3 linked regions of the Mus musculus genome follow. The protein of the gene in region 3 binds, or shares a complex with, the protein of the main gene of each other region. Links are inferred from orthologs where the notes say so. Each region holds a gene or a part of one and is shown on either strand. Other genes may lie near its edges.

Region 1 (4,443 bases), on a different chromosome or scaffold from region 3:
CCCTTCCTCCCAAAGCTGCACAGTATTTTGTTATTTTATGTAGATATCAAGAGTGTCTATCAATACTCTCTTAGGAGTTGGTAAACAAGCACAGTAGTTAGTGGGAGTCGTGTTAGTGAGGAACATGGGTGTGCAGTGACAGAAGGCAATTCATGTGTGCACATGCCGAATTGGGTAGTGTCCAGCAGGCATTCCTGGCGAATATTTACCTCTAAGGGATTGAAGTACTTTGGATCTCATTCTAGCTTTCTTTGCTATTTAAAAAGAGGTAGGCTGGGGATGCAGCTCAGTAGTAAACCTCTTGCCTAATGGGTAGAAGTCGGTGCGCTAATCCTCAACACCATCTCTGCCCCCAAAAAGGAATGAAAATGCCCCCACGCATTGGGCATGTCACATATGACCAGGCATGGTGGCACATACCTGTAGTCTCAACACTTGGAATAGAGAGGATAGGAGATTTGTGAGTTTAAGGCTTTCCTTGGCTGTGTGGGAAGTTTAGGGCAAACATAGGCCACATAAGACGCTGTCTCAGAAGTAAGGGGCTCAACAGGTAAAAGTATTTACTATTCTTGCAGAGGACCAAGTTCAGTTCAAAGTATATACCTTTGATGGATCACAACTGCCTGTACTTCTGGCAGGTGGATCTAGTGCCTCTGCCCTCCTTAAGCACCTGTCCTAATGTGCACGCATCGATCCAAAAATAAATACATACAGGTAACACTTTAAAAGAATACAAAGTAGTTAATAAGTAAGTAGAGGCTGTAGGTGTTTGTGTTGAAAAATCAGTGATAGCATAAAATTCTAAAATTTGTTGATATTTCTGAATCTAATTATTCTTTTAGAATGGTCGGATGTGATTTGCTTAAAAATGATTGTCATTTGCCTTCCCAGGGCTTTGATGAGTACATGAACCTCGTATTAGATGATGCAGAAGAGATTCATTCTAAAACAAAGTCAAGAAAACAACTGGGTAAGGAGATAGTTGGCTTTACAGATTTCTGTTTATTTCACTGGCAGACTTGAATGGCCTATAGCTGAAAATTCATGCTATAAAGTTACATTTGAAGGGAGAAGCACACTTCTGAATTCATCTTCCTGCCACTTACTCTGTTACCCACTCCTTTGTTTTGTTCATTGATAGGGTCTCAGGTAGCCCAGGCTACTCTCAGTCTTGCTGAGAGTGACAGATTGAACTCCTGGCCTTCCTGCCTCCCCCTCCCAAGTGCTGGGATCATAGACATTCGCAACCATGCCTTGCCAAGGATGTTAAATCTGATGTCGTTTTTTGTGTTCACTTATATTTAACATTAAGTAGAATTTGACACAGTTCAATACTTCCTTGCAATACTTTGATATCTTGGGTTTGTGACATAGTATGTCAGTTTTTATTCAACTCTGGCTGTTTTTTTTTTTTTTTCCAGACTTCTTTATATTCATCCTTTTTTACCCGGCCATTAAGTATTTGAGGCTGGGTTCCAGCTCGCCCTTCACAGTCTTTCCCTAGGCCAGCAGTTCTCATTCTGTAGGTTATGACCCTTTTGAGAGTTGAACGATATTTCACAGTGGTCTCCTAAGACCATCAGAAAACACAGACATTTACAATATGATTCATAATAGTAGCAGAATTACAGTTATAAATTAGCAATAAAAACAATTTTATTGTTGAGGGTCCGCACAACTTGAGGAACTGTTATTAAGGGGCTGCAGCGCTAGGAAGGTTGAGAGGCTCTGTTCTAGGCTTCTAGTGTTCAGTGAGATCACAGCTCCAGGTACTAATCTGGGCATTGACTTCCTTATTTATGTGTATAGCCCAAACCTCTTCTGAACCTGTTTAACTTTCCACATAGAAGGTTTTTAAGGCAGCCTGTCAGAAGCCAACTTCACTGCCTGCTTACACTGTTCAGCGTGGGTTTGCTGATCACTTCCTAACGGAACAGTAGTTTCCACTAACTTACTAACTTTTGTAGCTCCCTCATCCATTTGAAGTTGCTCTCCAGATGTAGCCATCTTTTTGAAACACTGGGTCTGACCTTACCAGCTTTTGCTTGAAATTTTCCATTGTCTGTTTTTCCTGAGGGGACAGTGTGATGTTTTGGCAAGAGCCTTCTTATCTGGCCTGATGTTCGCTCATCTTGATTCACACTGTCCCATTTTCTGAGCAGTCTCCATGCTTGTCTCCTTTCAGTTTGTTTTTTGTTTTGGAGGGTTTTGGGCTGGATTTTTGTTTTTTGGGGGGAGGGGGGCTGGTTGGTTGGTTTGGGGGTTTCTCTGTAGTCTTGGCTGTCCTGGAACTCTCTGTAGACCAGGCTGGCCTCAAACTCACAGAGCTCACTGCTTCCTGGAGTGCTGGGATTAAAGCTGTGTGCCCCCATTGCCCAGCTCTTCTTTCAATTCCTTAAGCCTGCACATTGGCCTCACTTTCTGTTTGAGGTAGGATCTTCCTGTTTAGCCCAGGCTGGCCTTAACTCTGAGATCCTTGCTTCATTTTCTAAATGGCAGTGTTAACACAATTATCACGCCATGGTTATTACACTTGACTCCATCAAATATTGCTACGTGTATTGTTCACTGATCAAACTTTCTCTAGGAAACCCAAATTTAATTTAGTTTTTCTGGGATGGGAGAACACAAGATGTGATATGTTGACTCTGTAGTGAATCATTTATTTTATCGTTGCCTCTTTGTTAGACTGCATGCTCCCTGAGTGCATGAGTCATGTCCTCTCTGCTTCCAATGACCACCGTAGTGCTTCACATAAACTCAGAAAGCCCAGGGAACAAGAGGACCCATGGTCTCATTAAGAGATACTTTACTGAGGTTAGGTTATCTTTTGTTAGAATAGTCAGTGCTCACGTGCGTTTATTAGTGATGGAGTTCAGGTATCTCTTTCCCAAACCCTACTGACCAAAGCTAGATAGGTGGAAGGTAGATTCTAAGAAATGACTCTGTTTTTATTTGCTTTTGAGGTGCTCTACCTCTATAACCCAGGCTGTCCGATCTTACCTTAGCCTTCCAGTACTGGGACTGCAGGTGTGCACTGTCTCACGCAGCAAGAACTCAGGCTACTGCAGATGGAATTGAAATGTATACTTGACAAACACTCATTTCTAAACCCTCATGAACTTAGTATTGGGAGATGCTGTATTGGGCCTTTTCACTTGACCTAGACTATAGGAACTATGTTTCATTAAAACAGCGCTGTTTCGTTCTGTTACTGAAAGCCCAGTAGACCTGGTGGAAGCCTTCAATATGGACGATTGAAAATGTTCACATAGCGTTATGAGAGAGAGAAGTGCCTCAGTACTATTCAGAGCCAAACTCTGAGGCTGAAAGATAAGTAAATGTCTCTCTCTGATTAGTCACAGCTTTTGTAACACTTTTTTTGTTGTTACAGGTCGGATCATGCTAAAAGGAGATAATATTACTCTGCTCCAAAGTGTTTCCAACTAGCAGTGAATGGTGAAGTCTGTAGGATGTTGAGAAGACCCCTTGAGCGTGTTTAAAGATGTCTGCTGCAACCTGCATTTACTCAACTTGTTTTACTTGCACATTATTATTAGGTGACAATAAATGCTGTAGGAAGTTTTTGTTAAAATTTTACATTGTTTCATTCTGGTGGCAAAATGCTTTTACCTAGGGTCGGTATTTAAGGTTTCTGAGGGCTTCCAGTCCCCCTTGACATTTGCTTTTCTCGGAGCATGGATCTGTACGTTCTTGAGGCAGATTAAGAATTCTGCCTGCACAGGTAAGCTGCTAAGGTTGGTGGAAAAGGCTGGGGGGGAGGGGGTAATTGAAAATAAACAAGTTTTGTTTTTTACTAGTGATGTACTCATCAGTTCTAAGTGCTTGTCTGTCACACGTGAGGCCCTGTTAGATCCCCAGTGTTACAGAACAAAAACCCACCGCTGACTTCTGAGTACTGCGACACCAGCACTTGTAAGTGCAGGAGGTTGCAAACATGCTTGTAGTTCTGTTTGCTTAGCAATTACTGAGACACTGAAGAATTGAGAATCTTATCACTAAGATGAGAATGTGGAAAGCAGGTATGGTGTCCTGTGCCTGTAACCCAGCAGGAGATTGAAGAGGGTGGAGTGAAGGACAAGGTCTGTCCAGGCTAGATAGCAAGAGTGGCTCAAGAGCGGACTAGGAGGGAGGGTAGAGTGAGATACCTTTAAAGTACAAGTCAGATAAATGTAAAAAACTAATAGGAAGCTCTTGGGAATCTTAGTTTGGGAAAGACCACAAACACCTGGTAAATTAGTCGTTAGGTAAAATAGTAGCATACTGAAAAGACTTACTTGTTCTCATCTGTAAAGATTTAGGTTCCTTCCCAAATGATAATGCTAATTTGTTTGGCCTGCGGAATGTCTCAGTGGGTAAACATTTTCAAGCATGAGGACTGGAGTTAGCACCCCAGAACCTAATGACAGTTGGGTGCCTTGT
Region 2 (2,969 bases), on a different chromosome or scaffold from region 3:
AAGCTCTTAACCTGGGACGCCAGCGCTCCACTAAGGCAAATGTTTGCTATCAGAACAACTGGGACATTTCTATTGAGATTAAAGTTTTCCTAGGTAGACCAGGCTGCCTCACATTCCACACGCCCTAACATCTACACCAATCCTCTTGCTGAATTCAGCCTCTCCAAGCTCATGGCTATAGGCATGAGTCGCCACTTCTGGTTCCTGGAACCTCTTTACAAAAAAAATGTAGGTAAAGTGGTCACCTTGCACAGTGCTCATCGAGAAAGCAAATCCACAAACTATCCCTGGGAAAGAAGGCACTGAAGTAGGGTAGCAGGTTATTGTGGATTCTCGGGCAGAAAATGGTGTCTGAATTAAGAAAAATATCCAAGATACACTGTGCTTTTCTTCCTAACACGTTCCTGGGCTGACCCTGCACACCGTAGGGACTGTGTAAGTCTCTTCCTAACACGTTCCTGAGCTGACCCTCCTGTGTTAGCCAGCCTCTAGCCCTGAGAACAAGTGAGACCCTGACTGTACAAACAAGACAGTCTACTCCGCAGCATCCTAAATCCCAGCCCAGGAGGAAGTTAAGAGCAGCCCAGGAGGATTGCTATCATCTCTACCCGGGGACAGAGTGGTCACCAAATGTAGAGCACTGACACAAATCCTTCCCTGACAGCTCATGCCCCACGCCCTCCTTGCTGAGATAAGCGATTTCTGTCCTCAGTACTTCAGGCCTCTCCCTACAATTCTCTACACACACAGTACTTTTACCTCAGAACAGTTTATAAAGATTCCTTTAGAAGCAAACACACCTATGAACAAGTCATTTATGTGAGAAAAGTAATACCCTCTAAAATGAGGCTATATTTACAAATTTTATTTTTTTAATCTCAAAAATACATATAAATGAAAACCTGCTCTCCAAATGCAGACAGGCCTTTGCCTATCATGTGGTATTATTTATATCGCAAAACACTGACATATGAAACCCAGCACATAGCTCTGAAGCACACAGACTGTCAGTAAGGAGTATCTTTCTACTCACAGATCCCAGGTGGGAAGTTCAGACACTCGGCTGTCTCTTACTTTCCACCCGTGGGAGGAAAATATGAACACATGGTCAAAGATGAACTGGAAGTGTGGAAGCTACACAACCTCGTTTAGACACATACACACATCCCTAGGCCACAGCAAGGCCCCTCCTACAAAGTCAGTGTGGTGTTTCTCAAAGGGAGAAGAGAGGCGACATTTGAATAAAAATTCAAAGCTAAAGAAAAAGACCAGATGATCAAACTATGATGTCTGCTTCATGAAGAAATCAGGAATCCTCAGGGTGCAGATCTACAGACCAGTGCACAGTATGACAGCAGCTCCTGTTGGTAGAAGCCACGACCTCCCTACAGTCTTGTCACACAGACATCGCACAGAGTGTCTGTTTATCGAAGACAGCCAATAGAGAAGTCACGTGGTAAACTGTCACCCCCAAAACGAAGTGCAAAATCAACTTCTATGACTCAAGAGCTGAATCAGGTCAAAGCTTTGGTATAGGCTGGAGGCTGTTTTGGTGACAACCAAAGCTGACTAAGATTCTCTACTCTAGGATTTGTCCCCAAAACAAAACTCCTGGTCCACAAAGCTCAACAGCTATATAAATAGGAAACTGTACAAAGAGAAGAAGCCACCATCCCCTTTCCAAGGGCAGTTTGCTATGCAGCAGTTCTGAAGGTGCCCACCACACGCTCTGACCAGACTCGACATGCTGTAATTGGTGAGACTGTTCAGAAAACAAGGGCCCACAAGCAGGCAGCTGCTGTGCCAACTTCAAGAAAACATGAAGTGACAGTTCTCATACTGCAACATAGGCTGGGCAGCAACAGAGAAAAGACTTAAGGCAAGAAGAGGCGCTGGAGTGACCACCACAGCCTCCGGTAGGGACGGTTTCTAACAGTAGAGGCTGCCTCTCAGCTGCTAGCTGTCAGATACCATTTCTTCCTCCTCATCATCTTCATCTTCCTTCCTGTCAAGTTCAGAGGTGTCTGAAGACTCATGAAGCAAGACATATTCTCTGCTACTGAACCCAAATTTAAGTACGTCTTTTTCTTTCAGTTCATAATATCTCTGTGGCTCAATACGCTTGTTGTTCAAGAATGTTCCATTGCCTGAGCCAAGGTCGATAATGTAGGGCTTCACCCTCCGACCAACCGTGCCGTCAGCACGGGTGTACTCCACAAGCCTAGGAGAGACCAAGGAGAGAAGCATGTGAGCATCCTACCTGAGACCACCTGCCTTCTTTTCTAAAGCTCTATGCTACAGATCTAAATGGCAATGACTTGGCTTGAACAGGATTCAAATGAAAATTCTGGAATGTCACGGGGAAGTACTGCCCTGATGGGGAAATTCAGAGCACTTTACATAACCTAGGAGAAAGGTAGGCTGAGGCTGTGGCCGGGAATGGAGGGCCATAAGGCCCCAGTGCAGAAGGCTTCTTGCTATGGTTACACATAGACTTTCTCCAATGTTGTATTTTATGTATTTTAGCACCAGCCCGAATGAGGAAAAAACAGAATTAAGACTTGAGAGCCAAGGACTAGATGTGGACAGTTGTGCTCTGAAGATGGCTTACTGCAAACAGGGCCTGTGTGAGCCGTGGTTTCTCACCTGTTAAAGGATGGTACCATTGGCCCTGCTTTCCTCACAGGGGAAGTACCAAACGGTAAAGATGTATTCCCAAGCAGCAGGTTCAGCTAGCATAGGTATATCTGGCATTCTGACTCTGGCTTTTATTTCTATTTGGTCCTCATAAAGCCCTAGGGGCAGGTGGAAACAGGTCAAGACCATGGCAGGAATCTTTTCTTTTTCTTCCTTTCATCTATTTATTTATTTATTTAGAGGTGGGGTCATGGTATATAACCTACACTTAGAGGATATACTACCAATCCTGCTTAGCCTCCCGAGAGCCCGGATTACAGGCCTGCACCACC
Region 3 (4,663 bases):
AAACCTTTGGTTCATGTGAAAATTCAAGTAAATATTGACATACATATTGAAAGAAACGTTACGCTAAGGAGGATTATTTTTTTTTCTCGTTTCAGTTGGGAAGACGACTTATCTACCGTTCGAAACCTCAATCTGCAGACAAACAAGAGCTCCTTTTAGTCAGTGATACAAGATCAAAATCACAGGACGAAGAGTACTTTTTTAGTTGAACGGGATCACGAGGATACTTTCTTAGCGAATGTTTTATGTGGATGTTGGCTTTCAGTGATGCAATACTGCCCTAGCAAATTCCAGGGCCGCAGCAGACCTTTAGCTGGAAGTTTACAGGACTAGGAACAGCAACTATTTTCTGCTGCAACTCTATTGTTCACTAGTACAGGCCATGAGCTAAGCAATACTTACTTTAGGTTGTCCCTGTTGGAGACATGTATCCAAAGTCAATTTATTGATGTAACAATAGAATGGCCTTCCTCAAAGCATGAGAATTTTAATATTTTCTAAAGCAATAAGGAAGTTTACAGCTTTGAATATACATTTTTAAAATGTATTATTCTTAAAACAACTGGACAGGTTTAAAGCTTAAAAACTAATAGACTACGGTCTCAGAACAATCATGGGGCTGGTTTTCTTTCACATTAAGCTCTGAAAACCTTATCAGAAAACTTTCAAGTGAACAAAATCATACATCTTCAGCCTAAATATCAATTTGTATTGTATTTTATCTCCATAATTATTTCAATTTTCATGTTTTGACTTAGCTATAATATACATTATTTAGTCTATGTCAATATAGAAATAATGATTTATTAATACAATATATATTAATACTAAGAAAATGTTTAACTTTATGGATGTTACAAGTGGTTTGGAAACCTTAAACAACACTGCTGCTTTTATGAGGTCTCAGTTAAACCAGCGGTGGGATTACAAAAAAAAAAAAAGAGTCCCTTGAATAAAACTGAGAGGCTTTTAAAACTTTAGTTCTAAGAATTATCCATCCATTGTTTCAACATTTGCGCTTTGCATTAAATAGTCCACAAGTCAAGTTGAAAAAAAAGAACCCCAAATCTTTATTGTATAGAAATACATATATATATAAAAAAAAAAATCCAAGATGCTATTCTCTCATTTCCCCATCTTCCTCTTCTTCTTCAACGCCTCTGATGTAGAGGACATTATTACACCTGTAACAGAAAACAGTCCATTGTGAGCTGCACTCAGAACCCACACAAGATCAATCCTCAGTGCCCCATCATCAGACTGGACACTGAACTCACAGCTTGCCACTTGTCCTGTTAGTCCTGTATAGGTGTAGTAAAGACACACCACACATTTTTACCATCATCACACTTCATCTCTACGACTTAGAATGTAGGTAGTTGCTGATACCAGACAGTGAGTACAACAGAAATCCTTAGCAGCCAGACTCAACTAAAATTCAAATTTAAATCCCTGTAACCCAGGACACTGATACAGGTTACAGCTGGAGCCAGGAGATGTAAATCAAGAGTAGGAAAATCTCAAATATAAACTGAAATCTTCCAACATGTTAGTGATTTCACAAGCTTCTGAGATCTAGTTGTAGAGTACTTCCTGTTTAATGTTTAATAGGACTAATATATTTCAGCAGGTATTTCTGAGGTTAGTTAGAACTCCTTTCATACACACAAATAAGTCTGTTACCTTATTAGAACTTCGCCCAGATGTCCAGACAGCGCCCCATCTATGTACTCTTCTGTATTTGCAAGCTTTAGACAAAAAGAAAGGTATTAGTATAGCTGCACGGGAGGGAAGAGTGCAGCATGCCTACTCGGTGAGGACCCAGTGACTGAGACTCCTCCACACCAACAACTCACACTGGATCCATAAACAGTAGCTCTAAGATTATCTTCCCATCACTCTTGTAGCTTTGGATTTCATATATTCATTAAGACATGCATGGGTATAGAACTCATGGATAATAAAGCTCGTTTCAAAGTTATTAAGCCTTCTAGATGTTATTTCTATCTGCTATTAAAGTGTCTCAAAGAAGAAAGCTTATTTGAGTAAGTTATAATTCTTAAAATTTTCTGAAAATTCAGCTCCAAAGAACCAGACATTAACTTTTCTTAGAGTAAAACATTATGAATCATATTAACTTGTTCAAATGGGTGTACAAAAGCTATGGCTAAAATATATTAGCCAACAACCAAACCAAAAAAAGTTAAGATTTTTAAAATCTCATGTACTCAATGGGGATGGGGGTGGAGGGGTGGGGGTGTGTAAATCAAGAATGATCTTTAGGGTTACTTTTGCAAATTCTATTCTAATTTTAAATGAAAAATCTTTAGCTATTTCAGCAGCTAAAATAAACTAATTATTTAGTTATATTATTTAGTTAGTTAGGGTGGGGGGGATTCGAGACAGGGTTTCTCTGTATAGCCCTCGCTGTCCTGGAACTCACTGCCTCCCGAGTGCTGGGATTAAAGGCGTGCGCCAACACACCCGGCTTTAGCTATCATTCTTACAATTAAAAAAAAAAAATATCCACCAGTGCTATATGGGGTCACCAAAGGCAGAACAAGAGAAGAGAAGGAAGCGTCTTTCATAAGCAGGCAGTGGACATAGGTAGATGTGGCTGGCATAAAGCATTTAAGACATGCAAGCTGTTTCTCTGTAGGAAAACAAAGCAACCAGAGAACATGTTGTCACTAGAACAAATGTTTGTGAGATGATTTTGTATATAACTCCTATCAGAAGGAATGTAATTGTGTGTGTATGTAGATATTTATGTTTTTGAGAAAGGGTTTCTCTGTGTAGCTCTGACTGTCCTAGAACTCACTCTGTAGACCAGGCTGGCCTTGTGCTCAGAGATTAACCGGCCTCTGCTCATAACTGCTGAGATTAATGGTACACATGGATTAATTATTTTTGACATTTCCCTAACACTTAAATGGCTTCTAAGTTGTATCTATACTAATGACCCAAAGTTTAGAGCTTACTAAATTCAAAAGCCTCACTACTGTTGAAAGGCTTTCAGTGACTGCCATCCCACCTTCTACTCTGGCCTTTTGTCTGTACCTCAAACACCCTAGTACCCCCCCCCCAATCCCCGTGGACAGAAGCTTTGCATCTGCTGCTCCTTCCAACAGATATGATTTTGTCCCAGATGCCAAAGGTCTCTTTGGAGGCGAGGCTGTTCAGTACTGCACACTCATAACCCTGGTTTTGCTTTACCGCCATGCTGTGGATCACTCCTACGCATCTGTGGTCCACAACCATCTCCCACCACTGGAACAAGCTCAAGGATATGGACTTTGTTTTGCTCACTGTTATATTCATGGTACCAAACAGACAACCAATACCTTTTGGCTAACTGAAGCAACTCAGAAACCGGGCTCGCTCAGAGATACATTTTATACCTCGGGACACTACATTAACTGCAAGATCAACTATTAGGTGGTTCATTTGTTTCAACAGGGTTTCATGTATTCCAGGTTGGCCTGCAACTTCCTGTGAAATGGGGATGATGTTTTAATTTCTAATCCTCCTGCTTCTATCCCAGGAATGACAGAATCACAGGCTTTTTTTCACAGAATCACACCAAGTGACAGGGATGAAACAAAACATTCTGGGGTTTTCAGTGTATTCATAACATTGAACTCTCATTTCTAATCCCACACTATATTCACCACTACAGGCATACTTTCCAGACTTTTCTACAGCTTTTGTAAATAACTCGTTTCAAGAATTTTCCAGACCAAATCTCTCCATATTCTTGTTAGCTGGATTTCTAGTTAATATATCCACCTAAGTAACCTTTAAAATCTGGGCAGAAACTACAATTAAACACACAAAAAAATTAAAAACAGACAAAGTGGCACATGCCTTTAATCCTACCACCCAGGAGGCAGAGGCAGGCAGATCTCTGAGTTAGGCCAGCCTGGACTACATAGCATGATACAGGCCAGCCAGGGCTACATAATGAGACCTTGTCTTAAAAAATACAAGTAAATAAATAAATAGAGGATGTGAGTACCTTGTCTTAAAAAATACAAGTAAATAAATAAATAGAGGATGTGAGTAACATATTTCTCCAAAGATGAAAGCACATGGTTAATACACACATGAAAAGGTGCCCAATGTCATTGGGGAAATGCAAGCCAAGAGGAGATACTATTTCAGATCAGGAGAATAATATTTATACATTAAAAAGAGGAACCTCGTAGAAAACAAGTGTTAGTGCAGATGTGGAAAACTGTAACTCTTGGGTACCATCTGAAGGAATCAAAACCACACAGCTGCTATGAAAAACAATATGACATCTACTCAAAAACAACGAACCAGTAATCCGACTTGTGTATATACTCCAAAGAGTTAAAAGTAGACTTGGAAAAATGCTTGTTTGAGGCTGGAGAGTTGGCCAGAGGTTAAGAGCACTGGCAGCTTTTCCAGAAGACCTGGGTTCAATTCCCAGCATCCGCATGGTGCCCACGGCATCCATAACTGCAGTTCTAGAGTGCTGACGGATGCCCTTGTCTGACTTTGATGGGCAGCAGGCATATACATAGTACACTGACAAGACATCCATAAAATAAAATTAAAAACTAGAAATCAAAATGAATGAACAGGTTGAGAATGTAGCTTAGTGGCAGACTGCTGGTCAGCATGTACAGAGGTCTGG

Evidence for each region.
Region 1: Snrpf (region 3) and Snrpe share a complex: the UniProt entries of both Homo sapiens proteins name them as parts of the U7 snRNP complex. The link is inferred for Mus musculus from reciprocal best matches to the Homo sapiens genes SNRPF and SNRPE.
Region 2: Snrpf (region 3) and Snip1 share a complex: the UniProt entries of both Homo sapiens proteins name them as parts of the minor spliceosome. The link is inferred for Mus musculus from reciprocal best matches to the Homo sapiens genes SNRPF and SNIP1.

The regions. Positions count from the first base shown.
Region 1 is NC_000067.6:133,603,028-133,607,470, reverse strand, and holds the end of Snrpe (small nuclear ribonucleoprotein E), read left to right. Parts: intron 1-891; coding exon 892-970; intron 971-3,394; coding exon 3,395-3,450; 3' UTR 3,451-3,600; downstream 3,601-4,443. UniProt on the Homo sapiens protein: Plays a role in pre-mRNA splicing as a core component of the spliceosomal U1, U2, U4 and U5 small nuclear ribonucleoproteins (snRNPs), the building blocks of the spliceosome.
Region 2 is NC_000070.6:125,071,918-125,074,886, reverse strand, and holds the end of Snip1 (smad nuclear-interacting protein 1), read right to left. Parts: intron 2,222-2,969; coding exon 1,957-2,221; 3' UTR 844-1,956; downstream 1-843. UniProt on the Homo sapiens protein: Required for pre-mRNA splicing as component of the spliceosome. As a component of the minor spliceosome, involved in the splicing of U12-type introns in pre-mRNAs. Down-regulates NF-kappa-B signaling by competing with RELA for CREBBP/EP300 binding.
Region 3 is NC_000076.6:93,582,347-93,587,009, forward strand, and holds the end of Snrpf (small nuclear ribonucleoprotein F), read right to left. Parts: intron 1,982-4,663; exon of another isoform or gene 1,749-1,981; coding exon 1,684-1,748; exon of another isoform or gene 1,185-1,683; coding exon 1,118-1,184; 3' UTR 683-1,117; downstream 1-682. Other genes in the region: Ccdc38 (coiled-coil domain-containing protein 38), read left to right, coding at 96-209. UniProt on the Homo sapiens protein: Plays a role in pre-mRNA splicing as a core component of the spliceosomal U1, U2, U4 and U5 small nuclear ribonucleoproteins (snRNPs), the building blocks of the spliceosome.